Tamandua tetradactyla: one gene and its partners. The protein of the gene in region 1 interacts with the protein of each later gene in a pairwise test. Links are inferred from orthologs where the notes say so. Each region holds a gene or a part of one and is shown on either strand. Other genes may lie near its edges.

Region 1 (7,322 bases):
GGGGTGGCAGGTGTTATAGGTAATATTCATTTAGCTTTCTGAGCTTTCTGGGCAGACTTGGTGACCTTGCCAGCTCCAGCAGCCTTCTTGTCCACTGCCTTGATCACACCCACAGCAACTGTCTGTCTCATATCACGAACAGCAAAACGACCTGTTAAAATAAAGTTCATTATTATTGTGAGAAACAGTTCAAATTTTCATCTTTGATAGAATTTTTTTTCATTAAATTTCTGAAACCATCCTTACCCAGAGGAGGATAGTCAGAGAAACTCTCAACACACATGGGCTTGCCAGGAACCATATCAACGATGGCAGCATCACCAGACTTGAGGAATTTGGGACCATCTTCCAACTTCTTGCCAGAACGGCGATCAATCTTCTCCTTCAGCTCGGCAAACTTGCAAGCAATATGAGCTGTGTGACAATCCAGCACAGGTGCATAGCCAGCACTGATTTGACCTGGATGGTTCAGGATAATCACCTTTAAAAAAAGTTTAATTTAGTGAGTCTCAGGCTCTGCAACAATTAAGAAAACGTAGCAATTAAACTGTGTTGTTACCTGAGCAGTGAAGCCAGCTGCTTCCATTGGTGGGTCATTTTTGCTGTCACCAGCCACATTGCCACGACGAACATCTTTTACAGACACGTTCTTGACATTGAAGCCCACATTGTCCCCAGGAAGAGCTTCACTCAAAGCTTCATGGTGCATTTCAACAGACTTGACTTCAGTTGTAACGTTTACTGGAGCAAAGGTGACCACCATGCCTGGTTTGAGAACACCAGTCTCCACTCGGCCCACAGGCACAGTACCAATACCTAGATACAAAGTATTATCAACATCTTATGTGAAAACTATATTCTGGGTACCCCCCCCTTAAGTTACATCTTAAATTCAGCTTACCACCAATTTTGTAGACATCCTGAAGAGGCAGACGCAAGGGCTTGTCAGTTGGACGAGTGGGTGGCAGGATGCAATCCAGAGCTTCAAGCAGCGTGGTTCCACTGGCATTGCCATCCTTACGGGTGACTTTCCATCCCTTGAACCAAGGCATCTAAGAACAAGAAACTACCAATTACTGACATCAAAAGACACTCCAAAGCTTTTTAACAATTCTCAAAAAGTCACTTACATTAGCACTTGGCTCCAGCATGTTGTCACCATTCCAACCAGAAATTGGCACAAATGCTACTGTGTCAGGGTTATAGCCAATTTTCTTAATGTAGGTGCTGACTTCTTTAACAATTTCCTCGTATCTCTTCTGACTGTAAGGTGGTTCGGTGGAATCCATTTTGTTAACACCAACTATTAGTTGTTTCACACCCAGCGTGTAAGCCAGAAGGGCATGCTCTCGTGTCTGCCCGTTCTTAGATATACCAGCTTCAAATTCACCAACACCAGCAGCAACAATCAGGACAGCACAGTCAGCCTGAGAAAAGTCATATCCTGTTAAATCAAAGTTCTCCTCAAAGTTATCAAGCTGAATTTAGATGCTACAGAAGTGTTCAGAACAAATCAAGGCCTTGCATTATTGAAAGCTTTCATTAAACTGAACCCTGAAAGAGATTCTAAACGCAGTTATGTTTCCAAGTTATTAAATTTACAAACCTGAGATGTGCCTGTAATCATGTTTTTAATAAAGTCTCTGTGTCCTGGGGCATCAATGATGGTCACATAGTACTTGCTGGTCTCAAACTTCCACAGGGAGATATCAATGGTGATACCACGCTCACGTTCAGCTTTTAGTTTATCCAAGACCCAGGCATACTTGAAGGACCCCTTTCCCATCTGTAATAGAAGAATGGTTACTTGTTAACTCAAACAGTATCAAACCCCATCTTGAAATTCCACTTTATAAACTGCAAACCCTTGGAGGTCTTAGTTTAATTTCCAAAAATAGCTACAAAGCTAAGAGCCTCGCAGAAAGTCTTTGCTGATCATTTAGAAAAATGTACTAACTGGTCAACCTTTTAGAAGGTACCTTATGTTTCAGCTAGTCAACTTTAGCATTCTCCCTTAACCATCTTTCCCTTTAGTACCTCAGCAGCCTCCTTTTCAAATTTTTCAATGGTTCTTTTGTCGATTCCACCACATTTGTAGATCAGATGGCCAGTTGTGGTGGACTTGCCCGAATCTACGTGTCCAATAACGACAATGTTGATATGAGTCTTTTCCTTTCCCATTTTGGCTTAAGATGTAGTGATGGCTTTCACGACACCTAAATGGGGGGTGGGGGCGGGAGAAAAACACCTCTTAACCACCATCCGAGAAACTTAAGCCGCGATGGAAACTAAAAGGGCAAACTCCAAGGAGAACTACCTTCCAATTGCCAACCTGGCCTAACTAGTCTCCACCCACCAATGTGGTGACTCCATTGCAGAAAATCCCCTCCCCCCAAGCTGAGGAAACCTTCCTCCGGAGCGGTAGGGGCCACAATCGAAATGACATGACTATGCCCCACTGCTCCGTAGGATCACAGGAAGCAGCGTCTGACAATGAAAAAAGGCCCTTTTTCTTTGTGTGGGTGACTCACCCGCCCGCTCTGCCGACCCGCCGCGTCCTCCATTTTGAGCTCACTACAGCACGGCCGAGGAGCCGCCATCTTTCCGAGCACGCAACTGGTGCCGAGCAAAAACCGACCTCACTTCTCCGGGGGGTGTGGGGGGGGGCGGGCAGACTGGGCACCGGAGCCGCTGGGCCAACCCCATTATCTCACCCCTCGCCCATCCGGTGGCCGCGCCCCGAGGAGCCCGCCTCGGCTGGCCGAGGCCGCGCCGGACATGTGCGCGGGACAACTGGATTCCACCACCCTCCACGCCTCGCGGCAGTCACACAACCCGAGGAACCCGACGACGCGCCCGATAAAGCCTTACTCTTGCCGAGGTCCTGCCCCAACAACGACTAAACTACCTCAATGAGAATATACCCCAACTGCTTATTTAAGTCAAGTGGCCGAGGCGTAACGAGAAAGACGCGAATGAGCGGCCAGATTCGCGCGCGGCAGCCCGGGCGCCTAAGCCAGGCCTCACCTGAAGCAATAAAAAGGGCTCCTGAGAAAATCCAAGGCCTCGAATTCTCCCACCTTCTTCCTCTTACAACCCGAAATTCGGGGTCAAGAACCCCGCAAATGTGGGTCGACAGAGACATAAGTAACAAAAAGCACGCGACAGCTGCCAGCTGTTCAAGGAGGCCCGGCCCAAGGGAGCCACACCCAGCACTTACCTGTGTTCTGGCGGCAAACCCGTTGCGAAAAAGAACGTTCGGGGCGACTGCGGCACTTATATACGGTCCTCCCCCACCCTCGGGAAAAGGGGTGGAGTCAAACACGACACCGCTTCCCAGTTCACCCCGCGCCTCCTCCACCAGGCACCGGTTCAATTGCCGTCCCCTCCCCCACCTCTCTTCTCGGGGACCGTGGGCGATGTGCGTTCATCCAACCAAAGAACACACAGAGTCTGGCGCATGCTCCTCTGGACCCCGACGACGACGAGAAGACAGTGGGTGGGGGGCGGGGACACACAGATCCCTCTGTTCTAGGATAGTGGGAGTTTTACGACGGCCCCTGGGATTCCCTAAAGCAGAGGCGAATCCGCCTTTTGTATGAATTACTCTCGCTCCGGCTGGAGGGTGGGGAGCTGGGCGGCCGGGAGTGGCCGTCCAGAATTTTTCTTTTGCCAGTCCTGGTTTAATCGCAAACGCGGTATCGAGGTTGGAAAATCCCCTTACCCCACATTCTGCTTCCCCTCTTCGATTTTGCCCTCTCGCAGGTCGTAGACAATCCCCAGGAACCGCTTCCTCCGCTGGCTTCATCCCTACCGGGGCTGGCTCTTCCTCCACCGCTGTCCTTCACGCCCCTCCGGTTTGGAAAGGGATCCAACCGAAGCCAGCAGACCCCGGGGTCGCCTTTCCAGCCCCTACCATCTGTAAGGGGTTCAACTCGATGACCGTGGCTCGACGAATCTGTTCTTGGGCACGCAGGCCTCTTGGCTCGTTCCATTCAAAGCCAGCTGCGTTTATCAAAGCCGTCACACGTTCATCCCCTCCCCCTCCGTGTTAATGCCAGACGTCCAATTTTTCGGTTTAGAATAGACCTCGTTTCTTCTAACTCTTTTCCTTTGGCTAACGGGTCACACGCGAGTGCGTATGTGCGTGTATCCTTGTGGTACATTTTCCCAGTGTACTCATTAGACTGCAAACGTGAGAAATGTAAGAAGAATCTTTCAGTCTTTCCACATGATCTCATGTGGTGATAGAAATCTACCAAGACAGCATCGCCAAGCGTATACACCCAGTCTCCTATCCACAACTGGATTTGTGATTTTTTTTAAATCACCGCTTTTCAAAAATTCAAAAATGGCCTATGCCATTTAGGTAAATGGCTTCATTTTCTGTCGTATTGACTAACTGCAGTTTAGCAAATATCAAGGGCGAGATTGGATAAGATTCGACCTTTTTGCCTATCAAGTTAGTCCCTGCGAAGTGCTCTGAGGTAAAACAAAACAACAAAAAACACCTATATTTTTAATGAGCTAATTACTGGATCATTATGTCTCTTCTTCCAAGTATAGAACATCACTGCCCAACTTCTCAGAACTTAAGTATTGTATTCGAGTGGCAATAATTGTCCAGGACTAAGCAAAGGACAGTGAAGTATGCAAAAGAAATATCACATTCTAGAGAGGAACCTATAATCAAGTTGGAAGAGGAAAACTAAGATAAAACGATTGGGAAGCAATTAAACACAAGCTCGTATGTTGCTTACTTTCTAGTTCATGGTAGAATATGGTTCTAATCCTAGGGTTTAGTTATATCTCAGAATTTATTTTTTAATGAACGGTCTTCTAAAATAGCCTTCCTATATCTTTGTAGATAAAACTTTCTAAAATCAGGTTTCTCTATTTTTTCATTGGAATGTTTCTTGTTTCATTTGAGATAAGTTTAATAAAAGAAACTAGGCACAAAGTTTCACTAGCAATAAAGATAGCTAGTATTCTCTATCCACAAAAGCCTTGTCTATAATGCCTGTATTTCTGGCTTCTTGCCTTTCAAAAATTGTTTTTTCACATTGCATTTTCCTAGTGCCCATATCACATATCTTGACAACATAGTCCCTGTTTATAATAAGAAAATGATGTACCAATGAAAATCCATTACCAGCAAAAGAACAACATAAGAATCTCTGCTTTCTTGTTTATTTCCTTGGAAGTGTTCATTAATGACTGTTCTCTATGGAACTAGATTCCCACAGTCAGCCATAGTGGTATGTAACTGTAATACTGACTGCACACTTATTTCAGATAAAGATTAGAGCACCACATAAGATTTATTTTCCGTGCCCCCTTAAGCAGTGTATGCTTCAACTGGTTTAGACTTATATACGCTTGGAGATAATATAGGGGCACATAAAATATTTTAACAGGACTTTAAAAGGAATGGCAAACTTTTGGGAATATAAAAAAAATGGTTATTTAGTGATGAGGAAAGAAATCAAAGACTAAAGAAAAACTGATAGTTGAATATTTGAAAGTTTTTACATGGAATCCAAAACTGTAGCTATCTCAGGAAGAAATAAGTCAAAATGAAAGTGGATATTGGTAAAAGGGAAAGTATCAAAGATAATTTGTTAAGTAAATTAAGGTGAGGAGTGAAACATACATAGATCACTGAAAATGGCATTATAAATATATGTGCTTTTATACAATCCTAAAATTGTAATAACTGGAGATACATATGCTTTCAGTTGAATTGTTTGAACATATGGATCTGCTATAATTTAAGTAGTATTCTTCACATATATGTAGATATGTTTGTGTGTGTATTCAGCAACATACTGGGCACTGTGGAATTCTTGAAAAGATGACCAACAGCAAGAGCTTATAAAAATCACAGTTCCCCTGATTGAAATCCCACCTTTTCACCCTTTCCTAGTATGCCAATCTTAGTTTCCATTAGTTTAAAAAAACAAAAAATTAGCACTTCAAATATAAAGTAACAGAATGACACAAAGATGTTTCTTTGTGAATAATGGCATCCAGCTTCTAATTATGCTGAGATAAAGGAAAAAGGAAGTGCGAATCCAAAGCTATCTCAGAATATAAGCACTTCATAAACAAATATCTTAAAGGATATGCTTTTAAAATGGCACCTAAGGAAAAGGAAAATTATACACAAATCCTTGATTCATATCCAAGTAACCTACTTTCCAGCACCGTCTGGGTGCTCTTATTAATGTTGCCATACTGGTTTCGATTTTGGCGGAGGGAATGGAGAACTCAGTTCTTGTGCCGAAGAACCTTCGAAGCCATCGGAGCCGTATTACCGTGTATTTGGGGTAGACACTAACTAACCCGACGCCTTTTCTCAGGGCAGAGTTCACATTTCTGCTCTGGGCGGGGACCCGGCTCTTCTCCAGCGCTTGGACAGCTGTGGACCCGGCGGGTCCTGCCGTGAGTAACCGGGCGCCTCCTACACTCGGGCTCCGGTCTCCAGAGAGCGGACATAGCTGGGTCCGCCCACCGGCACGCCCCCAGCTTGAGTCAGTTTCTTCAGTTCTCAGACTCCGGAAGGAAGGGCCGGGAAGGACGCACAAGGGCCCACGTGCCTCGGCTTGAGAGTAGGATTTTGTTACCGTGGCAGGTCTCGGAAAGATTGGAGCAAGTGTTATTTAAAACAAAACAACAAAAAACTTTTTCCGGGGCCCTAATGTTTCACTAACGTAGTGATAGCCCTCTTCCCCCCCCCCCCCCCCGCGGCTTTACAGCAGCTAAGTACGCCTTTTATTAACTTAATTGTTAAAATGGTAATAGTAACACGATGGAGACTTAATTGTGGGGGGAGGGGCATATTCTAAAACTGTATTTTACGATTTTCTTTAAACTTGATCATGCCGTTTAGATTGGCCAAGTTAAAATATATTGTAACTAAGCATCTGTATAACCTCTTTTAGGAAGAAAAATAGAAGAATTCATCTATTTACTTAGTAAACGGATGAAGAGTAATACTTCTTTGGTATATATAATTGTGCTTCAACAAACAAGCATCCTTCAATGTTGGCCAATCACACTGCTATTGGGCCTAATTTAAATTGTAAGGGAAGCTTACACTCCCACTCATATAAGGAAGTATGGAAGCCCCTTTTTTTAAATCTAGACCTAACCTGGCTCACATTCCCCCGAAATTACGTCATCATATGATACTGAAGGATTAAGTTTACTAGAAAATGATAGGTGTTTAGAGCATAAAGCTTATTCAATTGATCCCCTCTAGATAAGCGCAGTCAGATATGCAAATTAAGCAGTCAACCCACCCTAATCTGTGATTGGTT
Region 2 (7,828 bases), on another chromosome or scaffold:
GACTGCCTCTTGGCACCCAGCTGTGAAGGGGCTGTCCTTCCAAACCCTGACCCACCGCTGGCAGTCCTGGGCCTGGCCACCGACGACTGACAACACCCAGACTCAGTGACTCCGATCACCCTCGCTGAGCCCAGGGTAACAATCAAGGTAGTGGGTAAGTCCACCTCCTTTTTAGTGGACACGGGGAATACCTTTTCTGCCCTCCCCTCCTACTCAGGTCAATTCCTTCCTTCCCAGGTCACGGTTATGGGCATAGACAGCTGTCCTTCGCACCCCTTAACTACTGGACCACTTACATGTTTAATAGAAGGGTACCCCATTACACACTTTTCTTGGTGATGCCTTCTTGCGCCAGCCCACTAATGGGGCAGGATCTTCTCACCAAGTTAGGGGCCTCACTTCACTGGATACAAAAACCCCAAACAAATTTACCATTACCCTTATGTGTGCTGTTCTAGTTTGCTAGCTGCTGGAATGCAATATACCAGAAACAGAATGGCTTTTACCAAGGGGAATTTAATGAGTTGCTAGTTTACAGTTCTAAGGCTGAGTAAATGTCCCAATTAAAACAAGTCTATAAAAATGTCCAATCAAAGACATCCAGGGAAAGATACCTTGGTTCAAGAAGGCCGATGAAGTTCAGGGTTTCTCTTTTAAGTGAGAAGGCACATGGCGAACACAGTCAGGGCTTCTCTCTTGGCTGGAGAGGCACATGGCGAGTACGGCGTCATCTGCTAGCTTTCTCTCCTGGCTTCCGGTTTCATGAAGCTCCCCGGGAGGTATTTTCCTTCTTCATCTCCAAAGGTTGCTGGCTTGTGGACTCTCGGCATCTCATGGCTACATCATTCTGCTCTCTCTAAATCTCTCATTCTCCAAAATATTTGCTCTTTTATAGGACTCCAATAAACCAATCAAGACCCACTCAAATGGGTGGAGACATGTCATCGCCTAATCTAATTTAACAACCACTCTTGACTAAATCACATCATCGGGGAGATGATCTCATTATAGTTTCAAACATACAGTATTAAATAGGAATCATCTACCTTTATGAAATGGGATTTATATTAAAACATGGCTTTTCTTAGGGAGCATACTTCCTTTCAAACCAGCACATGTGGCCTCCACCTCCACTCAGGGTTCCACCCCTCCCGCTCTTCCCCTACCACCTCACCTAGTAAACCCGGAAGTATGGAATACCTCAACTCCCCTGATAGCTTCCCATCATAAACCAGTTCTTATCTGACTAAAAGATCCATCCTCATTCCCATCTAGGCCACAATTTCCTATCTCCATAACCCATCAGAAAGGACTCCAACCCATCATTAACCGGCTCAAGGGAAAGGGACTCCTCATACCCACTAACTCGTCTTATAACACCCCCATCTTGCCTGTCAAGAAACCTGATGGTTCTTAACATCTAGTACAAGACCTCTGACTAACTAATGAGGCTGTCATCCCCATCCACCCAGTAGTTCCCAATTCATATACTCTTCTCTCACACATACCTCCTCATACTACTCGTTATTCTGTCCTGGACCTTAAAGATGCCTTCTTCTCAATCCCTCTAGACCCTGCCTGTTACAATTTATTTGCCTTTACCTGGCAAGACCCAGACTCTTCAGCGGCCCAACAACTTACATGGACGGTATTACCTCAGGGGTTTCACAATAGCCCCCATATCTTTAGCCAAGCTCTAGCCAGGGACCTAATAGAGTGCAATCAAACTCCCAGTTTCGTTCTCCAATATGTAGATGACCTATTAATTTGCAGCCCTTCTGAAAAAAACTTCCACAAAGCCTACAGCCACCCTGTTAAATTTTTTAGCTGACAAAGGATATCGAGTCTCCCCTGCCAAAGCTCAACTTTCCTCCTCCACTGTTACCTATCTGGGGCTCCGCCTCACTCCTACATCCCGACATCTAACAGTAGACAGCCAGCAAGCCCTTTGAGAACTCCAAAACCTCCAGAAAACATTGAACAAATTTTATCCTTCCTAGGTTTTGTGGGGTTCTTCTGACATCGGGTCCCCAGCTTTTCCCTCCTAGTGAAGCCTCTTTATAAGGCAGCCAAGGTGGCGCCCATGGGAACCCTAGATGACCCCTCTACTGTAGCCAAAACTTTCTCCATTCTCCATGATGCCTTACTTCAATCACCTCCACTTGCTCTTCCAAATCCTAACAAACCCTTCTTCCTTTTCACTGATGGAAAGCAAGGAATAGCGGTGGGAGTCTTAACCCAACCTCTGGGACCAACTTATAATCCAGTAGCCTATCTCTCTAAACAGATGGACCCCACTGCCTGTGGATGGCTTCCCTGTCTCCGAGCACTGGCTGCAGCTACTACCCTAATGCGTGAAGCTCTTAAACTTAGTCTGGGTAGGCCTCTCCAAGTCCTGTCGCCCCACCATCCACAAGACCTGTTATCCCATAAGTCTCTCTCTCTCTCTCTGCTCATTCCTTCCCGTCTCCAGGAATTTCATTTGTTCTTCCTAAAAAACTCAGATGTCACACTCTCTGCCTCACCAGCCTGTCTTACGTGGCTCCAAATCCTCCAACAAACCTTAAATTTCCTCAACCAAACACAAATACTCCCTAAAGTAACCCACTGTTACCTCTGTGCATCATTAAATAAGCCACTATTAGCAGCTGCCCCTATAAATCTAATCCAAATACATAATCATAACCCTGATTCCTGCCATACCACTCTAAAGAACACCCCCCGATGGGAACCAGAGCCTGAAAACCTTCCCTACCCCCTTAAAACCTGCTTCCTCACACACACACAACTGTAAATCAGACAAAACTTCATAATAAATGCCAAACTAACGTCACTATCCACAACACCACCCATCCGCCAAAGGACAATATTTCTGGTGTAATGGAACCCTTACCAAGTGCCTTAACTCCACTGCCCCGGGACCATGCTTCCTGGTAACTACTGTTCCTCAATTAACTCTCTATAGGGAGTCCGAACAAACTTGGTTACTGCCCTCTCCTCACTCCAAAAGGGCTGTCTTTCTTCCCATCCTGGTAGGCATCAGCCTAACTGCCTCAGTCGCAGCCTCAGCTGCAGTGGGAGGGGCACTGGGACATGGTTTTTTTTTTTTTTTTTATTAATTATTTAGATTAAACCAAGGTAACTTAACAGAACACTTTGAGACATGGTATTTCAACCTCTCAAAACTCTGAGACTCAACTACAGGTAGCCCTGGAATCAACATCAGAATCCCTTTCCTCTCTACAACGTCAACTTACCTCACTAGCCCAGGTAACTCTTCAAAATTGACCGACCTTAGACCTGCTAACCATCGAAAAAGGAGGAACGTGTGTATTCCTTCAAGAAGAATGCTGCTATTACGTCAACGAGTCAGGTCTGGTGGAACAAAATACTCACACCTTAAACAAACTAAAAGAGGATCTCTACCACAGAAAACAAGGAACCAGCTCTGCCTTAGACTGGTTTTCTTCCCCCCTGGTGACATGACTCCTCCCGCTAGTAGGACCAGTTATCCTAATCTGTCTCTTTTTTCTCCTAGCTCCCTGTCTCCTCAACCTCCTTCAGGGACGCATGAAGGAACTGTCCCAGCTAGCAGTCAACCAAATGCTCCTGCATCATTGCCACCGCCTACCCTCCTCACCTGATTCCTATAGCTAACCTACTCCCTCTCCTGACCATGACAACCCCAGCCCATCACCCCACGTCGCCCCAGCACAGCAGAAAGTAGCCAGAAGAACCTCAACGCCCTATTATCACAAAAAGGCTGGAATGTTAGGTTGGGGGAACCGTGAAGGGCACTGCAACTGGAGCTGCAGAGGCTGTGTCGCCCCTCCCAACATGGCTTCTGGAGCCACCCCTTCTGGACACCTGACTTCCGGAGAACCGCCCCTTCCGACGTCACCTGACCCGCTTGCATAAAAACTGCCCACGCCATCACCCATTTCAGACTCACCTTCCTCCATCTTGGATTCCGTGAGCTCTTCCCGGGAGCACAGAAATAAACCTGCCCACTTTAAATTTCCCGGTCTACCTTCCCTCTTCCTCAGCCTTTCGCCTCCTAAACCTTTCATTTTTAAATAGCCTTACCCAGTCTTCTTTAACAGTTAAGATTCATATGCCACTTTCTTCCCCAAAACTTTCCTGCACTCTCCTACCCCATGGAAGTACCCATGTCTTTGTCTCTGACACTTTACCAATTCAGTACCCAGCTGGGGGGTTTAACATGATGCCACCTCGCGCCTTAGTCCTTTGTGTGTATGTGTTTCTCCCTAAAAGCCTGTGGGCCCGTCATAGCGGTTCTGCGTCTCTTCTCCACATCTTTGATTAAAATCCAAAGGTTAAAAATCACTGAGACAAAGTGAAAGACCAGAAACCAAAGACAAAGAGGCCTGGCTGTCGACCCTCTCCGGGGTGGGAAATAACTCGCAATGCCGGCCTCCGCAGGGGAGCCCGGAGTGGGTGGAGCACTAAGGCTATCCAGGAGCGGCATGGCGTCTCCTGGTTACAAACGCGGAAGCTGCACCGCGATCTATTTTGATCCTTCAGAGCTGCCATCCAGTCTGCGTACCACTCATGCCACGTGACGGAGGAGCCCCTACGATCTGTGGCCGAGAAGTACGTGGTGCGCTGAGTGATCGCGGGCGGCCAGCGGAATGGAGGAGACTTTGGAGCAGCACTTGGAGGACACGTGAGTAGTGCAGACCTCTTCGGCTTGTGCTGAGGTCGCGGCGTTGAGGCTGAAGCGGAACAAAGGGCATGTGCTGCGAGTGCTACCCTGGCGTCTGGGAACACGGAACAACCTCCAAGGCGCGGATGTGACTGTGAGGCTTGCTCTGGGGCCGCAGGGCGGGGCCGTGACCCGGAATTAAAATCTCTCCGGGTTGCTTTGCACACTCCCTCCCGGAGCGAGTCTCCGGGATTCAAATCTGAGGCATACTACTCTGGTGTCGTTATTTCGGGCGTTTTAGGGAATGGGTTATGTTTTAGAAAGGATGTACCACGTGTGCAAAGTGGAACCCTGCATTGTAAACATAAGCAGACACACGTATCTCCTTCCATACGAACCAGCTACTTGGTGCTTAGGGGGATGATGGGTCATCCCTTATTTTTTTTAATGAATGATATTTTTGTAAGATCCGGATTGGGAAAGTTTAAGAAGGCATACAGGGAAATATACCTCACTCCCACCACTGTACTCCAGCCTCTCAATTCCCTTCCGGGAAACTCCTGTTACTTAGACTGTTCCAAAAATTGCTGTACTTGAGTTAGTATATTAAAGCTCGCATTGAGCAAAGGGAACCCTGGATATTACAATGTTTGTGACCCTCCAAAGGTAAATTATACCTGACAATCTTTTTGTTTTTGTTAGTGAGAATTAATTTAAGTTAATTGGTTTTATTTTTTCTAGAGGCGGGGAGGGATGATAATGAAAAAGGCGTTGAGAAACACTGATTTAAAGCACTTAACAACAGTGCCTGGCATGTATAAAGCCTTAATGTGTTATGGTAATTTAAGCCCATGTTCTCTCTTCATCCCGCCTCTATTTCTGGAACTAGAATGAAGAATCCATCAATTGTTGGCGTCCTGTGTACAGATTCACAAGGACTTAATCTGGGCTGTAAGTATCTTACACCAAACTTTTGGTGTGTTACAAGTATCTGATATTGACCTGGAGTCAAGTGTATTAATGCTATTCTCTAGCTTTTATTTCTTGCTGTCCTGCCACTTTGAATTGGTATTTAAGAAAGTAGGACCATTCCCTGCAGTTCTAGAATTAAAGCATTTGGCTCTACTAAAATAGTATTTGAATCATTTTAAATTGCATTTAGAAGGGACTTCAGGTAATGACAGTATTAACCCTTTATTGGATGTATGCCATATGCTGGAATTGTACTAGCCTTTATCTGCATTTTTTCTAGTTTTCACAGTAATCTTGGATGGTGCTATTTTTTTAGTCTAACATACACGTAACAATAAGTGAGTAAACAGTAAAATGTATTCTCTTTTAAATGTACAGCAGATTCAGAGCCAGAAACATCTGGGTTCAACCTCATGCTCTTCCATTTGCTAATAGTGTAAACTTAGACCACTTCTGGGCCTCAGTTTCCTTACTGAGTTGTTTAATAATTATACTAATAATAGAATTACATTTATTGAGCTCTTGGGCTATGTACCAGGCAGCATTGTAAGTGTTTTAGATATCATTCATTTAGTCTTCATAAAACCCTATGAGGAAGATAGCCGCTTTCCCAGTTTCCTTGAGGCAAAAAAGTCAGGTAACTTGCCCAAATTCACATAGCTAGCAAGTGGTTGAGTTAGGACTTGAATCTTTCTCCAAAACCTCTTAATTACAACACTATAAAATTATATCATATGTGTAAAACACTCAGCACAGAACCTAGACATAGTAATAAAGAGTCACAATTACAGATGAGGAAATAAATCCAGAAAGATAAATAACCAAAGCATTCAGTTAATGTCAGAACTAGGAAGTCCAGGACTCTTTACTTCTAACAAGAATTTTTTAAACTAAATTTCTTGCTGGAAGGATAACTGAAATGGGTAATATTTGTAATAGTTGTGTTCCTCACAGATTAGTCAGTTGGAAGAGAAAAGGCAGATTTTTCTAAAATGCTTGCCAGGCTCACTAATGGAAAGGCTGAAATTCAAGTATGGAAATTTAAAACTAAGTCAGTTTCTTCAAGAAAGCTTTAAGGCCTTAAAGGCTACACTGTGGCCAGTTAAAAGTAAAATCAGCAATAGTTAATCCATAAAAATGGTGCCATAGTTGCAAGACTGTTACCCAACTTAGGTGCAAGCACAATTTAGGCATATGTTACCTCAATGAAAACATAAAGTAAACTTAGTAATTACTTTATTTTCTTGGGACCCTAAATTATTTACCTACAGGCTAAAACAAACATTAATAAAGAGGCAGTTCTTTTGACATTTGAAAACAGCTAGCTTATTCTTGCCAAATTGATTGTTCACTGATTGTATTCACAGGTGCTGTCAAGATGGTCTTATGATTGAACTCCCAAGTTCAATTATATATCCTTTGAGGTTGAGCTCAGTGAAAAGAAATCAGATTTCCCAGGAGAAATTAATTAGTTTCACAAGTCTCTTGTCCTTACTGACTTCTTGTCAATCTCACCTCTGAATTTTTTTGTTTTCAGTAAGGTCCTAAAAAATGAATTTCTTTTAGATTGATTTGAATTATAGCTTTATATCGTTGGAAGGTGTTTCAAGATGGCAACGAAAATGACTTTGAAAACTGAGTGTTGTCCTCACATTGTTGATTTAAGAACTGTTGTCTTTCTCATCTAGTAGTTATAACCAGTTGATTATCAGGGCAAAAGCATTTCACGTCAGTACCTAACATAGGAGACAGTTAACTGAATCTTGTGTTTGTGAATAATTCAATGATAGCTCCTACTATAACTCCTTACTCATTTTTGGACAGTCAGGTGACATGATATCATCTCTGTCTTCTAGGCCGTGGGACTTTGTCAGATGAGCATGCTGGGGTGATATCAGTTCTAGCCCAGCAAGCAGCTAAGCTAACTTCTGACCCCACTGATATTCCAGTGGTATGTCTAGAATCAGATAATGGGTGAGTAGATGTCAGTAGATCCTTTCCTTTCCTTTTTGTACAGGAAGCTTCCTAGGAAAGTTGAATGAAGTCTGGTGGAGAGTGAGTCATGTCTCCCATGAAAGGCACATTCAGGTCCCAACCCCCGGTTCTGTGGATGTGCACCCATTAGTAAATAGAGCCTTTGAAGCTGTTATTAGTTAAGGTGTACCCATACTGAATGAAGGTGGGCCTTCA
Region 3 (7,453 bases), on another chromosome or scaffold:
CTTCTTCAACTGCAAAAAGTAAATAATACCTAGCTCTGAGGATGACTAAATTGTGACACACACACCCTACCCCCAAAGGCATGATCAGGTCCTAATCCCTAGTCTTATGGGTGTGAACCCACTTTTTTTTATAAGTAGGAACTTTGAATCAGCATGAATCTTTATCCAGTACATCTGAAATCCTCATAAGCAAAGGAAATGACAAAGAAAGAAACCCAGGATACAGCCAGAAACTTAAGTCAAGGGAACCCAGAGGAGAAAGGTGCCACTGTATGCATTACCACATGACAGAAAAGGAACCCCAAGGTTGCCAGCCTGCTAGAAGATACCCACCCAGGGAGGAAGCAAACCATCTAGACATGTAGACAGCACATTGTATGGTAATTGTTTCAGCAGCTAGGAGACTAAAACAGGTCGGTTGAAAGATTAGCAATATTTTGCCTTGGATTTTCCCCTCATTATGAAATAGTCTTGAAAACCGGAAATGCTTATGTCAGGAACTACATTTTTCTACCATGAATGAAGAACTCTACTTGACCACTATAAACTGATTGTTTGAAAGGCAAAATATGGCTACTTGATTTTTCAATTCTTAAACTGCAGGTAAGTGTAAACCCTTGACTTTGTACCAGCATAGATCATTTATGTAATAAAGCTAAAATCAATGTGAATATACATCAACATACAAACCTCATTTCCCAAAATTATCTGTGGGTTACTTTAGAGAACTCACTAAATAAATAAATACACACTAGGCATTCATTTATATATTTTTATTTGGAAATGTTTCTATCAGTACAGTGAAATTAAATTTAAGAGACATTGGATTACCATTAGTTTATTATAAAAGAGAGAGATGAAAATTATTTACATGATGGAAGATTTCAGAACTTCGGTGGAATGGGGAGCGTCACATGATGCCATTTCAATACTGAGCTATTTCACTCTACATACTTCCCAAGAATATCAGCATCTCTAAATAAGAAATAATCCTGCAAACAGAAAAATCATTAAGTTAAGACAGTTAACAGCAAATATTTAACCTCTTTTAAAAGTTACTTTATGTTACACACCTTGTCACCTAGAACTACTTTGGTGCCTCCATATTCTGGGAGAAGAACTTTATCTCCAACCTTCACACTAACTGGTTGAATCTCTCCACCCTAAACAGAAGGACATTTATGAGCAAAGACATGGAGTTCAGCAAACATTTACGCTTTAAATTAATCACATGTTCACTCAAATCAAATGCTAAAAATGCATTTAATGGCCAAGTGATATAATGAAGTGGCTTAAGTCATAAATATTAAGTGTAGAGTTATAATTTGAAATAAACCTTACAGTAGCTTAAACTAAATTAAATTGGGAGAGCTAGCTTTAGCAATTAAAGATAACTTTATAATTGCCAAATACTGTACTATGTTAGTAGCCTATGGGCTGCCAAATGAAACAGTTTTTATAACCATATGCAGCAAAACGATCAATTACAACATACAAAAGTTTAAAAGAACTTTTCTATATTTAGAATATACAATCCTTTTTTGTTATTCTACTTCCTCTCTTCGAATATTATATATTCAGTAAAAGGGACTAAAGCAGAGAGTACCCAGAACCTCCCTACTCCTAACTCCAGACAGTTCTTTGCAAGTAACTTCTAAGAGTTAACCAGAACATCGCATTTAACTTATTTGACCCAAAAGACATTTACTGTGTGTATTGTGGCTGACAGGTCTGAAGTTGAGCCAGAAAACTGAAAAATATCTGAAAGGATAATCCAACCCGTTCCTTTCATAAGGTAAGCCAACTGTGGCCCCAAGGCGTTAAAATAGTACGGCAATTCCAATGTTAGTCAGCAAAAATTAATGCACTTTCAACCCTCATTTACCTTTCCTTTAGATCCCGATCCAACAGCTACTACTGTTCCTTGCAATACTTTTCCTTGAGATTTTTCTGGAAGCATAATGCCTCCTTTGCTTACAGTTTCGGCCGCACACCTTTCAACCAATACTCGGTCCAAGAGGGGAAGAAACTTTCTAAATGCCTGTCCCGCCTGCAGGGAAAAAAAATTTAAACTTGCGGCAGAAACTATACGTAATTATATTCTGAACAAACAAAACCACAGTAACCATTGCATCTCAAACAGGAACCACAGTTTTAAAAGATTAACACCATAATTCACATTCTTAATTCGAGAACACATTTGAGTGTTCGGGCCTACATTCTACGTTAATTCCCCATTCTCTATATAATTAAAGGTCGCTGTTGCTCCTTTGGCCAGATTGGCATTAAAAAGCAACCTTGTTACTCCAAGGTCAGATATTTTCCTTATTTATATTTTTCTAGAAATGCTCAGGCCATGGAGTAAACCCTCCTTCTAAGACCACGCTCTTTTTCCAAGGGTTTACACACCCGCAAAGGCCCCGCAGGAAAAGTCAGCCGCCGCACGTGCGTCCCCGTTCCCGCCCCCTGTACCGCACGCGTGTCGCACCAGGACACTCATGCGAAGAGCCCACGGAGGAAGAAAAGGTCGGCGGATCCTTCGCTCTCGACCCTAGTCTTGGGCACCGTGACAGTCCAGGGTGCAAGCGAGGGAAGGACACCGAATGACCCCTACCCCTCTGGCCAGAGCCCAAGCCACGGTACTGGCTACCGAGCTCTTCGAACCGACCGGGACCACAGAACTCCAGCCTACGCGGGACCCACCATGGCTCCGGTTGCCTTAACTCGTACTCTGCTCCCGCGCCACCACCGCCGCAAGGAGAGGAACCACGGCCCGACCCTAGGAATACGAGAACGTGGAGAAAAGATGTCCAACGCGCAAGCGCGCTCGGCCTCCGACGCCCCGTCCTGCGAGAGAGGGCGGGCGCACAACGCGGGCCGTGATTCGTCCGAGAATGCTGCGCAGGTCGCTGACGCGCGGACAGGAGGGCAGAAGAAAAGAGGAGCTATTTCTAGGCTTTTCTAGGCTGCCTGCCGAGGTAAAAGAATTATCCCTTCGCCCCTCCCGGAAATGACGCAATTTAACCCTTGACCCGCGCGGAGAGCGCGGCGCTTTCCGGAAAGTTCTGGAACGCTGTTTGGCCTGGGAACAAGCCTAAGCCGGCTCGAGAGGGCTGAGCCCCCTGATCTGGCTTTAGCGGGTAGGGATGGGCGGGGCCCACGTATAGCGCGTGCTGATTGCAGGGCCTCCGCCGGGCTAGGGGGCGGGAGCCGGCTGCACATGCGGTGCTGCGGAGCGGGAGGGGCGCGGAGGGAGGGGACACGGGCTCATTGCCGTGTGCGTTCTGCGTTCTGTCCCTCACTCGCCGCTGACGGCCTGCCTCTCCGTCTGCCCGCCCGGCCTTTGCCCCGCAGGTATCCTGCCGGCCCGTGCCGCCTCATCTTGCCGACTCTGGTTTCTTAGCCAGGCTTTTACGGCTGCGGCCCGGCCTGAGTCAGGTGTTGGGAAAGAGCAAGGGCTTCCCGATGGCGCTGCAGGCCCAGGCCTGCTAGGCCAGGCCACGAGGGCCCATGCGGGATCCCATCACGTGGGGCATGGAGTGCGGGACTCCAGGGAGGGCCTAGTTGGCGGGTGGAATTTAGGGAGTTTTAGTTTCGTGGGCCCTCGGTGCAACTCGCTTTGGGTTAACTGCAACGCGCGGGAGAGGGTGGTCGTAGCCGCGTGGAAATCGCTTTTTGCCTCGCGGTCAGCATGGGTACAGCGTCTACACCCTTGACCTTGCTGGGGGCGTCCTGATGAGAGACGTGGGGCCGCGCGGGGTGGGATGGACTGTCTGCCCCCAGCATCGCGGCCTTTTTGGTTCTCAGATACTGTAGCCTCGGGTGGATACATGGAGATACTTACGCTTGAGAGGTCCTTTGCCCTGCCAGGAATATTTTTCGCTTCCATGGTCACTTGGATTTGTAACCTGCCCTTCTCCTGCAGACTTTGTTTTCCAGGGGCTTATTTGGGGTGCATTTGCCTTCGGGGCAGTTTTAACGGTGAAAAGCGAGTTAGTTTTTAGGCATGTGTGGGTAGCTGTTCGGAATGAGATGAATGTGTTGTGCGCTGGTGGTATCGGTCGGACGTTGGGGCGGCTTCACCCTTTAAGCTAGTAGGTAGTGTGCTCTAACCGTGGCTCAGGCAGCATGGCTGGCGGGTGTCTTCCCAGCTCACACTTAATGTTTCATGTTTTATTGCACAGGTAGCGTGTTGTTTGCTGCAACACACTCATGTAGTGATGTAGTGTTAGTACTGATCATCTGCTTGTTTTCTCTCCTAGAAATGCTTCGATTACCCGCAGTCCTTCGCCAGATAAGGCCAGTGTCCAGGGCATTGGCTCCTCATCTCACTCGGGCTTATGCCAAAGATGTAAAATTTGGTGCAGATGCCCGAGCCTTAATGCTTCAAGGTGTAGACCTTTTAGCCGATGCTGTAGCCGTTACTATGGGGCCAAAGGTACCAGTGTTTTATTATAGTTATAACATTAATTAAGGAATAATGTTCTACTGATGGGAAGTCATGAAGTACTGAATACTTTGGTATTCGTTGAAAAAAATCTCACATATAAAAGTTCCAGTTTTTTGATGACTTTTTTTCTTAGCTAAAATGTCTTAAGCTCTTCAACCCAATTTTCAAAACTATATTTTGTGCAAATGTACAATGTAATGAAGTGTTAGCTCAGCTCAGTATTTTTCTTTTCGTTCGTTTTTTTTTTTTTGTGCTTGGGCAGGCACCGCGAATCGAACTTGGGTCTCCGTTCTCCCGCTTGGCAGGCGAGAATTCCCGCTGAGCCATCGTTGCACCGCCCCAGAGAACTAATCTTGCTTGCTAGCTTGAGTTAAATTTTGGATTTTCCCAGGAAGAATGCTAATTATAGAAAGAAGAGTGTAACTTTTCTACCATAATACCTCAAGTATACACTTACAGGGACTAGTTGTACCCAGTTTTTTCCTGCTGTTCCAAAGGGCATTTAAAATTCTAAATCTTGTTCACGCTGAAGTTATTGGTGAGTGCAGATAATAAGTGATTGCAGGTAGCCTTCATTTCATATTGAAGATAATTCAAATATTAAAGTGATCCAAACAACTGCATAAAATACGACACTTGCATTCCCCATGTAAAAGGAGCAGTTTTTACTGGCTTAAATCCAAAAGCTGCCAATCTTGTTGCATCATGCTTGAGGTTTAATATTGAAGAAACTTGGAAGAACACATTGCTCCTGGCTGACTCGGTATGTTAGTAATTAGATTTTGAAATGTCATCATTTTAAAAGATAGCAGTCACTAACTAAAACTAAGGTATAAATGTTTTGAAGAATACTATCATTGTTATCTACTAACTTGGTGTTGGTTATCCTGTACTTATTTGTTTTGAAAGATGACATCTGGTCCCTAGAATTATCTCCCATAGTACCTCATCCAAAGTTATGCACTTGACTGAGCAACAGAGAGGTCATTTTGTCTGTAAACTAAGAACATGGAGGAATTTGCCCTTGAGTTTCTTGCTATAGCCCTGTTAAAAATGATACAACTTATGTTGAGGCTTTCAAGTAGTTCCTGTATTATGAAACTGTTCATTGTCTAAGCCTCTGCAGTTTGTGATCCTCTCACCTTTTATTCTTTGCGATTTTAGGGAAGAACAGTGATTATTGAACAGAGTTGGGGAAGTCCCAAAGTAACAAAAGATGGTGTGACCGTTGCAAAGTCAATTGACTTGAAGGATAAATATAAAAATATTGGTGCTAAACTTGTTCAAGATGTTGCAAATAACACAAACGAAGAGGCTGGGGATGGTACCACCACTGCTACTGTCCTGGCACGCTCTATTGCCAAGGAGGGCTTTGAGAAGATTAGTAAAGGTGCTAATCCAGTGGAAATCAGGAGAGGTAAGAAAATTACAGTGTTTTGAACTTAGTTTTCATAAGAAAACATTGATTCCCTGTCCCTGCACATAAAATGTTTTTTAAATTGTTTAATGAAGTTGATTCATTAAAACCTTAAACTGAGCTTACTTTCAGCAAATAGTGATTGAATGCTTGGCTGTGTAGTGAATACTGCTAGGTTTTAAGGAGGAAAATGTAAATAAGAAGTTCTTTCCTGTCCTGCCCCCTGACTCCTGCCATAGAGCAAGCATTTATTGGGAGATACAGTACCTACCCTGTACCTTGAAAATAGTAGTAAACTTGTGGGGTTCAGAGAGACAGATGATACAGTTTTGATGTAATTCCATTTTAGTTGTATTGAAGGTCGGGCTAAACCAGAAGCTCCATTCAGGAGATCAGAAAGCAGTGTCTTCCTCAAATTTTGTGGCAGTTTTTCCTTACCTCTTAACAGCACATACCATGTTAATATTGGTTTCTCTATCTCAGTGGTGTAGGCCTAGGTGAATGCTCTGCATTAAAAGTTTGGGACTGTAAATCACTCGCAAACATTAATTGATGCTATTAAGAGTACTTGTCAATTAGAGTCATTGTTACTACACGTTGGATATTTTTTCTTGAAGTAACATTTCTCAAAATAAGGGAAGGATGAGAGAAAGAAAGAGTTAGTACTAGTCCTAGTTGAGCAAAACATGATAGTTGGCTTGTGGTTCTTACAAATCCATGTTGTAGTTCTGTTGACTGATAACATTTTGTCAGTTCATTATTATAAAGTGAGGATATTTCTCACATTTAAAACCTGCAGTGATGTTATCCCAGAAATTCTTTATGGCCAAGATCTTTGTTTCTTGTTGAAAATAAGAGACTGTTAATCCATTTTGGTCCTTTTGTGTATTTAATTGAAGAGTGTTTCCTGATAGGTGACCCTATTAGAAAAGGGCAACAGGAAGGGAGGATAAGGGGTAAAATAACTTGAGTAGATGGAAATACTAGTGGTCAATGAGAGGGAGGGGTATGGGGTACGGTATGTATGAGTTCTTTTTTTATTTTTCTGGAGTGATGCAGATTTTCCAAGAAATGATCATGGTGATGAAGACACAACTATGATAATTGTGAGCCATTGATTGTATACCATGTATGGAATGTGTATTTGTGAAGCTCTATGAATAAAAATATTTTAAAGAGGGCAACATGAATGGATTGGGAATAATTATGTAGAATGAGGTTAAAAGTTGAGATTCTGGGCGGGCCACTGTGGCTCAGCAGGCAAGAATGCTTGCCTGCCATGCCCGAGGACCCAGGTTCAATTCCTGGTCCCTGCCCATGTAAAATAAAAAAAAATTAAAAAAAAAAAAAGTTGAGATTCTTGGAACTATCCATATCACCCTAAAACTGAACTAAGGAAGTTCAATTTTCAAAATAACTTTGGTGTTGTGGGACTTCGTTTGTTCACTGTATAAATATAAAGTTCCCGTTTCAGGGCATGTCATCTACTCCATGAGATGGGGAACAGTACAGGCACAGAAGTTAAGCATAGACAGTGCATTAATGCATTAAAAGACAGCACAGATCTCAAGATTTTTGAATTATCT
Region 4 (6,977 bases), on another chromosome or scaffold:
ATAAAAAATGAACTTAATGGGTTTGCAAGTCAAGGACTTTTTTTTTCTACCTTACATGTTAACTCATACCGAACTTCTTAGTCAAGGCCAAAACTAGTGCACAGCAGAAACCAGTTTTAAGCCCTGCTCTGCTAATTCCAGACTCCACTATCACAATGCATGAGGGCAAGCTTTGGGCTTGGAAGTCTCGTGGTTCTAAGATTCAAGTAATCTGGATTCTGAAGATCAAGATGCTTCAGGAAAGCAAATTTACCCCAAACTCAGATGCCTGCAGGAACTAGGTTGGGGAAGGGGTGCAGATGTGCCGAGGGGACTGATGTGACACTTCAGAGACATCTGGGGCGCCGTGGGGAATGCACGGCTCCCACTCTGCCCTGCAGGAAGGAGCCACACGGCCCTGCATCTGTGAGTCTTTTGGAATGCCGCCCTCCTTACAAACCCATCTATGGGCTGTAGGTGGTGGCGCCGTGGGGAATGCACGGCTCCCACTCTGCCCTGCAGGAAGGAGCCACACGGCCCTGCATCTGTGGGTCTTTTGGAATGCCGCCCTCCTTACAAACCCATCTATGGGCTGTAGGTGGTGGCCACTTGTGACCTTCGGAAAATCCCTAGAAAGAGACATCGTGGGACAAAGGAAAGCATCTTCAGTTCCTTGGTGGAGAATCGGCGCTCACAAGGCTTGGCTCCAGGGTAAAAGCTGGGCCCACGGGCACATCTGTGGCTTCTTGGTGCTTTTGGCTACAGCCAGAGCTGGAGGGGTATTTTCATCACCGGTGGGACATTTGTTGTCCATCTGCAGTGGTGAAATGGGTTACACAAACCATTTCGAACTATTGATGGAAAAAGTCCCCAGAGCATGAATGATTGATGCCGTTTCCTGTCCTCATCCGTTTCAAGGATCTCCCTGAGCTAATGGGACCCGCCTCTTGGGCAGTGCAATTGCTCTCCCATGAACAGCCCCTCCTGCATGAAAGCTCCCTCCCTGCTCGGGGCAGACTGGCCACAGATGTCTGGTGCTGCTCTGTGGGGATTTCCCTCTCTCAGCGTTTCCTGTTTCCTGTCTCAGCCCCATCTGCGCCTCCCCCAGTCCCTGACTCCTTGCTTCACCCTGCCTGGGGTGGCGGGCGAAGGAGGCTGGCGGCTGGGACCTTTAGACATCAAGGATGCACTGGAGATGCCTCCGGGCTTCAGGAGTAGGCCATGCGCAAAACGGTGGTTTCTCCTCTGCCTTAAGTAGCATCACCATCGACAGGTCACTGTCTGCTTCACCGGCCTGGAGTTTGGGGAAAAACAGCACTCTTCCTGAAACTCGGGAGGGACAGGGGAAGTTTGGGGAGGAGCAAGTCTAGACCCCTCCGCTGAGAGTGCAGGGATCCTGCGGGATCACAGACACAAATGATGCTTAGCCCATTTCGGAATCGGGCTTCTCTGCTCCGTTGTTTTGTGTTCCAAGCCTCCAGTTTCTGTTCAGAGGCTGCGAATGCAAATTCCTCCAGGGGCCTGGCAGGTCACATGGAGATTGGGGTTTATTGGGGTTGGGGGTTGGGGGCTGGGGTCTGAGGAGAGCTGTCCAGAGCTGCCCTTCCCGCTGAGGGTTAACTGTGGGGGATCTGCAGGCACGTGGGAGCCAAATCTTCCCATTTTCCAAGAGTAGCAGGAAATCCAGATTTTTATGTGAAAGCTGATGGTTTTGAAATGCAGCGATGGATTCAACTTTTCCTAGGACATTCCGCAGTCCAGAGGAACCCTAGCTGCAGTCAGGATTTGTTCTCCTGAAGCCCATTTGGGATCTGCAGCTTCTGTGGGGTGGTGGTGGGATGTTGGCACAGTGTTTGGATGGCATAGAGGGAATGAACCTGCTATTTGATGACAGTGTTCATGCATTATGCAAAAGTAAATCGTTTGGGAAATTCTACCAGGAAATATCCCATAAAGCAGCTTATGGCTTACTGGACATCCACTTATTTCCATAGCCAAATGAAAGGTGTCTCTCCATCAGGCCGTGGGACTGACTGAGAAGTGCATTTCAAATGATTTGTTAATAGAGACGTAAACATTTCCAAAGGGTTTTAAAGGGAAGCATCTTAGAAGGTTCCCCTTTAATAAGGCAACACACTGCACTGTTAGGGTTCCGGGGAAGGTTTAGGGGTGCAGTCCCAGGTAGTCTGGTGGGCAGGTTCACAGCCTCCCATGACTTGAGGCTCCAAACAGGCTGCATTACTTACTCAATGTGGGTGGGGAGAACGCAGAACCACAGCTACCACTGGCTCTGCCTCCACCCTCCCCCTCCCCAACAGAAAACAGGGTACAGGAGCAGCGTCTGCATCTGTCAGAACTGTGGGCAGCCACCCGTCTGGGCAAGGGGGAGCTGTCTGCAGATAAAATGTTTCTTTCCTAATTGGGCTGGGGGCTTTGGGGCCACTCTAACCTTCAGAATAGAAAGGAGGCTCTCCTGAAATTGGCTACCTTAAACTCAGGAGCCAAGTGGACTCGCCCCGAGGACTTTCCACCACTCCTCTGATTTCTAAGCTGGCTGGGTGGGGCCTGGAGATGCTCCCCCAACACCCCCCTGCCAGCAGCCTTCCTCAGTGAGGAGGGGATGAGGGGCTGCAGGCCTGCCTCCTGTTTTCCCTGGCCTTGCCACTTCAACATATTTAGTAAGGGGGAGCTTTCTAGTGTTACTGTAAGTTTTGGGGGGCGGGCACAGAGAGTTGGTGGTGGAATGTGAAAATGCCGAAGTCTTATTTCCAAAAATTTCCTGGGAACCTGGAACTAATATACGTTAAGAAATGCTTAATATTTTTTGAAGAACAAGACTTAAATCTCAGTCCCTTAACAATTAACTTTTTTTTTTAACTAAATCAAGGCACATCATCATTTTATATACCACCAAATTAGAAAGGAAGAAAGGGAGGCAGGGAGGGAAGGAGGAAAATGCTAGCGCGTAAACACGGCACAATAGTACCTGGCCCACTGTCACTGTAAGACACCTCCCTATTGCAGACATTTAGCAAACACTTGCTTCTGAGCTTCTAGGAAGCAAGCGGCCGGCTCTCGCCGCATTTCGCCTTCAAACCCCTAGGGGGCGCAAGGCCGCCAGCTACGGCTCTCGGCGCTTTTCGTGCCCAGAATCGTGCACAGCCTGCTCCAAGTTCAGGAGAATAAAAACTTCCCTTCTGAAGTTCAGAGGGACACTGAATATCCACCAACCTTCTGGAGAGAGCCTGGTTTTTTTTTTTAAGGTAGGTGATCAGCACTAAAAATCAAAGTCTCCGGATTTTCCAAACCCATTTTCTTCCCCTGCCTTTGCGAGGAGGCGCTGCGCAGGTGCCTGCGCTCGGCCCGGGTCCTGGGCGGCTCTGCAGGCTACAGATCAGAAGTGCTCCAAGAACAGCACTTTCCATTAACAGTCGCTCGAGCTGTCTTCTAGTTTTTTTTTTTTCATTACTGAAAACAAGCTTTTTGTGTTTGTATTTTTCGATTATTAAAAATTCCAAAGTCATATTAGCAATAGGGGCTCTTATTCCATCAATACAGGAGTGGGAGTCTCCTTTAGCACGCCACAGCCCGGGGCCACCCCGCTTGCGTGGGGTTTGCAGCCTTGCCCTGATTCCCTGCCAGGCCCGGCCCCAAAGCTGTGTGGAGGGGGAGAGGAAAGGACGTCCCCCCCAGGAGAGGGCGCTGCAAGGACGAGGGTTCAAGGCCTTTCTGGCCCCCTGGAGATGGCGCCGCGGGAACAGGATTCCGGAGCCGCGTTCTCGAAACTCCTCCCCGGCGCGCGCCCCGGCAGGCTGGGCTGCCGGGGGCTGGCCGCCGCGCACTCCGCGGCAGCCCTGTGGGGGCCCTTTTCCATGGAAATGTTTTCCTTCAAACTCGCATGGCTGCACGAGTGCACGCGTGCAGTGACCGGCTCGAGGGGCCTTACATTGCAATGTCCCCGCAGGGTGCAGAGGGGATGACCGCCTGCGGGGTGCGCCCGGGGCAACGGGCGGCGTGCACACGGTGACGCCCCAGGCAGGAGGAGGCGGACGAGGAGCAGCAGCACGAGGCCCCGACCCCCGCGCCCACAGCCCGGTGACCCCCACGAGCCGACGGGGCCCTGCCCAGCCCCACCCGGCGGCAGGTGGACAGTGTTGCTATGAAGAGAAAGCATGGATTGTCCCAACTCCAAAGCGCCACACGCCAGCCCTCCGCTATTGTGCACCCTCCATAGAAATGCAAACGAGCCGCGCGTGTGCCGGCCGCAATCTGCTTGCCCTCCCCGCCCCCCACCCCGGGGTCCCCTCCAGGCCCGGCCGCCACGGGCCTTGCACAGGATTTCCAGCCGCAGTCCGCATCCAGGGGTCCAATCGGCCTGGCGCGGACCGACCTCTCACTCCAGGGGCAGCTCGTGTGAGCGGGAAAGGGCTTGGGTTCCCTGCTTGCTGCAAGCTGAAAACCAGGACTGCACGGTATTTTTGTTTTTTTCTTTTTTAACCTTAATTTCTGGTTTGCAGGCCACAGTCTTAATAAACTTCAGTTGAAAAGTACAGAGAAAAAAACAGAACGGTAGCAATCAGAGCGAATGCCAAATTGGTTTTTATTTAAATTCGTCAAAGGTGCAATTCACCAATTGCACAAATTTGCAGCATCATATTAGCAAACGAGGCTTTTTATTATTTTTTTCTTCCCCTTTTCCTTTTAAGGACTGTAAAAAAAAAAAGGCGAGAAGAAATCTGCAGGCTCCAGTCTGCCTGGTAACACCCTGACAAAAGCGGCAGATTTGGGGCATTGTAATCCCCCGCACCCCTCCCCACGTGGCCTTCTGGCACGAGCCGGGCCAGCCCGCGCCTCATTTGCATCAGAAAGCCCGCGCCGACCAATCGGCGCGCATCTAGCGCTCCCGGCTGGTCTATATAAGGGCGCGCGGTGGGCCCCCCCCATGCCTCATTCGCTGGTTGTAGACTTCCCGGGCCGGGTAGCTGCGAGCTCTTCCCCTGTCTGCTCCCGCGTCCCCTTTCTGCTCCATCAGCCTTTGTGGATAACTTGCTGATCGCCTGGCGAACCATGACTCTTGAAGAAGTCCGCGGCCAGGAGACGGTTCCGGAAAGCACCTCCAGGTGAGTTGGCGCTGGGACCGGGCGTCTTGGGGGCTGCGGGATCCGGGAAGAGGGATGGAGCCTGGCTCACGCGCCCCCCTCGCCCGCAGGATGCAGAGCGCGGGGAAAGCACTGCACGAGCTGCTGCTGTCGGCGCAGCGCCAGGGCTGCCTCACCGCCGGCGTCTACGAGTCCGCCAAAGTCCTGAATGTGTGAGTAGAGACGCGGCGCCGGCCGGGGGACCTGAGCGCGGGCGGCGCGGGGAGTTCCGGGGCGCGCGCCGCGGGCCCTGACCTCGCCTCTGTCCGCCCTCGCAGGGACCCCGACAACGTGACCTTCTGCGTGTTGGCCGCCGACGAGGAGGACGAGGGCGACATCGCGCTGCAGATCCACTTCACGCTGATCCAGGCGTTCTGCTGCGAGAACGACATCGACATCGTGCGCGTCGGCGACGTGCAGCGGCTGGCGGCGATCGTGGGAGCCGGCGACGAGGCAGGCGCGCCGGGCGACCTGCACTGCATCCTCATCTCGGTGAGTGCTTGCCCCGCTGTCGCCTGGCCCAGCCCCGACTCCGGCCCCGGGGACGCTGGCCGCAGCCAGGCTCACCTCTCCGTCCGTCTCCCCGCAGAACCCCAACGAGGATGCGTGGAAAGACCCCGCCTTGGAGAAGCTCAGCCTGTTCTGCGAGGAGAGCCGCAGCGTCAACGACTGGGTGCCCAGTATCACCCTCCCCGAGTGACGGCGCGGGGCCGCGGAGACCTTAGTCTGATCAACGCGGCGCGATTGCGCCAGGGCGCCGAGCGCGTGGCCGGTTCTGTGGATTAAGCCCTCGGAGGGAGCCGGAATGAGTCGTGGAGACTTGGCAGGCGGTGGCGCTTGGAGCGGGACGCGGAGTCGCGCGGGGCTGTTCCCAAGGTGGGCGGCCGGCAGCGGCGGGCGACGGCGGCGAGGGCCAGGCTCGCCCCGGAGCTGAGGGACTTTGCAAGTGTCCGGGAGCTGCTGCTCTCCCAGGAAGGCCGGAGGGCTGGGGACGTTGGCTGCAGGCGGCTGGGAAGGCAAGACTGGCTGGCAGGACTTGGGTGACTCAGCAGCAGCCTGCGTTCAGCAGAATCGAGGGGAAAGGCGAGGCTGTGGACTTCATACAGTTACAGGAACGGCGGCGAATTTAGTAGACTCGCACAGCTTTTTTGCAAAAGAATCAGGGGCAGTTATTATTTTTTTTTAAAGGATGCTGCTGCTGGAGCTTTGAGTTTGACAATAAACGTATTGAAACCAACTTAATTCTCTTTATTGAAGCGGGGTGGGGGTGGGGGTGTGCTTGCTGAGGTGGGGAGGGAGCTGGCCGGGTCTTTCAGATGACTTGCTGAAACCTGGAACTGGATGGCACCTGCTCTTATCTTCCTGTTGGGCACAGATGACAGGTAGTCCTAGGAAGCTGGCCCAGGCTTTGGGTAGAACTGGAAGCCCTGTTCCTGTTTCTCCTATTTTGGGAAGATTTAAAAACTTGCCAGACAGAAGCATACTGCAGATAAGGCTCCAGGGCAGTAGCTTAAGGGTGGCCATTCAAGCCGATAACAGTGACCTCTCCCTCTCTCCACTCTCCTTCCCCTCCCCCACCTCCCCCTCCTTCCCACAGCTGCTATTGCAACAGCTTGCAGGATGCAGACAGGGTGTTCCTGCACAATGAGCCTTGCCTTCTGCAGGCACTGCCCCTGGAGGTCCCTGCAGGACTGGTGGCAGACAATGCCCTCAGGAACTCCTCTCATAAAAACTGATAACAAAGGGGCTGTGCTTACAGGTAATGTTACAAAGGTATTAATATCAGATATGACACTTGATGACTAGGTTTAATTCTGAGCCATCATTCTGTCATGACTGTGATGGAACTCTAAAAGATCT

Evidence for each region.
Region 2: the proteins of EEF1A1 (region 1) and LAMTOR5 interact in a two-hybrid assay, tested with the Homo sapiens proteins (2 studies listed by BioGRID and IntAct). The link is inferred for Tamandua tetradactyla from reciprocal best matches to the Homo sapiens genes EEF1A1 and LAMTOR5.
Region 3: the proteins of EEF1A1 (region 1) and HSPE1 interact in a two-hybrid assay, tested with the Homo sapiens proteins (2 studies listed by BioGRID and IntAct, with this or other methods). The link is inferred for Tamandua tetradactyla from reciprocal best matches to the Homo sapiens genes EEF1A1 and HSPE1.
Region 4: the proteins of EEF1A1 (region 1) and GADD45G interact in a two-hybrid assay, tested with the Homo sapiens proteins (2 studies listed by BioGRID and IntAct). The link is inferred for Tamandua tetradactyla from reciprocal best matches to the Homo sapiens genes EEF1A1 and GADD45G.

Annotation. Positions count from the first base shown.
Region 1 is NC_135331.1:129,525,471-129,532,792, forward strand, and holds the start of EEF1A1 (elongation factor 1-alpha 1), read right to left. Parts: upstream 3,244-7,322; 5' UTR 3,221-3,243; intron 2,217-3,220; 5' UTR 2,182-2,216; coding exon 2,038-2,181; intron 1,787-2,037; coding exon 1,607-1,786; intron 1,428-1,606; coding exon 1,131-1,427; intron 1,053-1,130; coding exon 902-1,052; intron 817-901; coding exon 560-816; intron 482-559; coding exon 247-481; intron 152-246; coding exon 27-151; 3' UTR 1-26. UniProt on the Homo sapiens protein: Translation elongation factor that catalyzes the GTP-dependent binding of aminoacyl-tRNA (aa-tRNA) to the A-site of ribosomes during the elongation phase of protein synthesis.
Region 2 is NC_135337.1:12,521,101-12,528,928, forward strand, and holds the start of LAMTOR5 (ragulator complex protein LAMTOR5), read left to right. Parts: upstream 1-4,548; 5' UTR 4,549-4,652; coding exon 4,653-4,687; intron 4,688-5,555; coding exon 5,556-5,617; intron 5,618-7,494; coding exon 7,495-7,612; intron 7,613-7,828. UniProt on the Homo sapiens protein: As part of the Ragulator complex it is involved in amino acid sensing and activation of mTORC1, a signaling complex promoting cell growth in response to growth factors, energy levels, and amino acids.
Region 3 is NC_135329.1:171,755,909-171,763,361, reverse strand, and holds HSPE1 (10 kDa heat shock protein, mitochondrial), read right to left. Parts: upstream 3,000-7,453; 5' UTR 2,707-2,999; coding exon 2,704-2,706; intron 2,051-2,703; coding exon 1,886-2,050; intron 1,164-1,885; coding exon 1,074-1,163; intron 993-1,073; coding exon 942-992; 3' UTR 759-941; downstream 1-758. Other genes in the region: HSPD1 (60 kDa heat shock protein, mitochondrial), read left to right, coding at 4,265-4,438, 5,615-5,867. UniProt on the Homo sapiens protein: Co-chaperonin implicated in mitochondrial protein import and macromolecular assembly. Together with Hsp60, facilitates the correct folding of imported proteins.
Region 4 is NC_135328.1:10,009,522-10,016,498, reverse strand, and holds GADD45G (growth arrest and DNA damage-inducible protein GADD45 gamma), read left to right. Parts: upstream 1-4,923; 5' UTR 4,924-5,046; coding exon 5,047-5,099; intron 5,100-5,188; coding exon 5,189-5,290; intron 5,291-5,395; coding exon 5,396-5,609; intron 5,610-5,706; coding exon 5,707-5,817; 3' UTR 5,818-6,354; downstream 6,355-6,977. UniProt on the Homo sapiens protein: Involved in the regulation of growth and apoptosis. Mediates activation of stress-responsive MTK1/MEKK4 MAPKKK.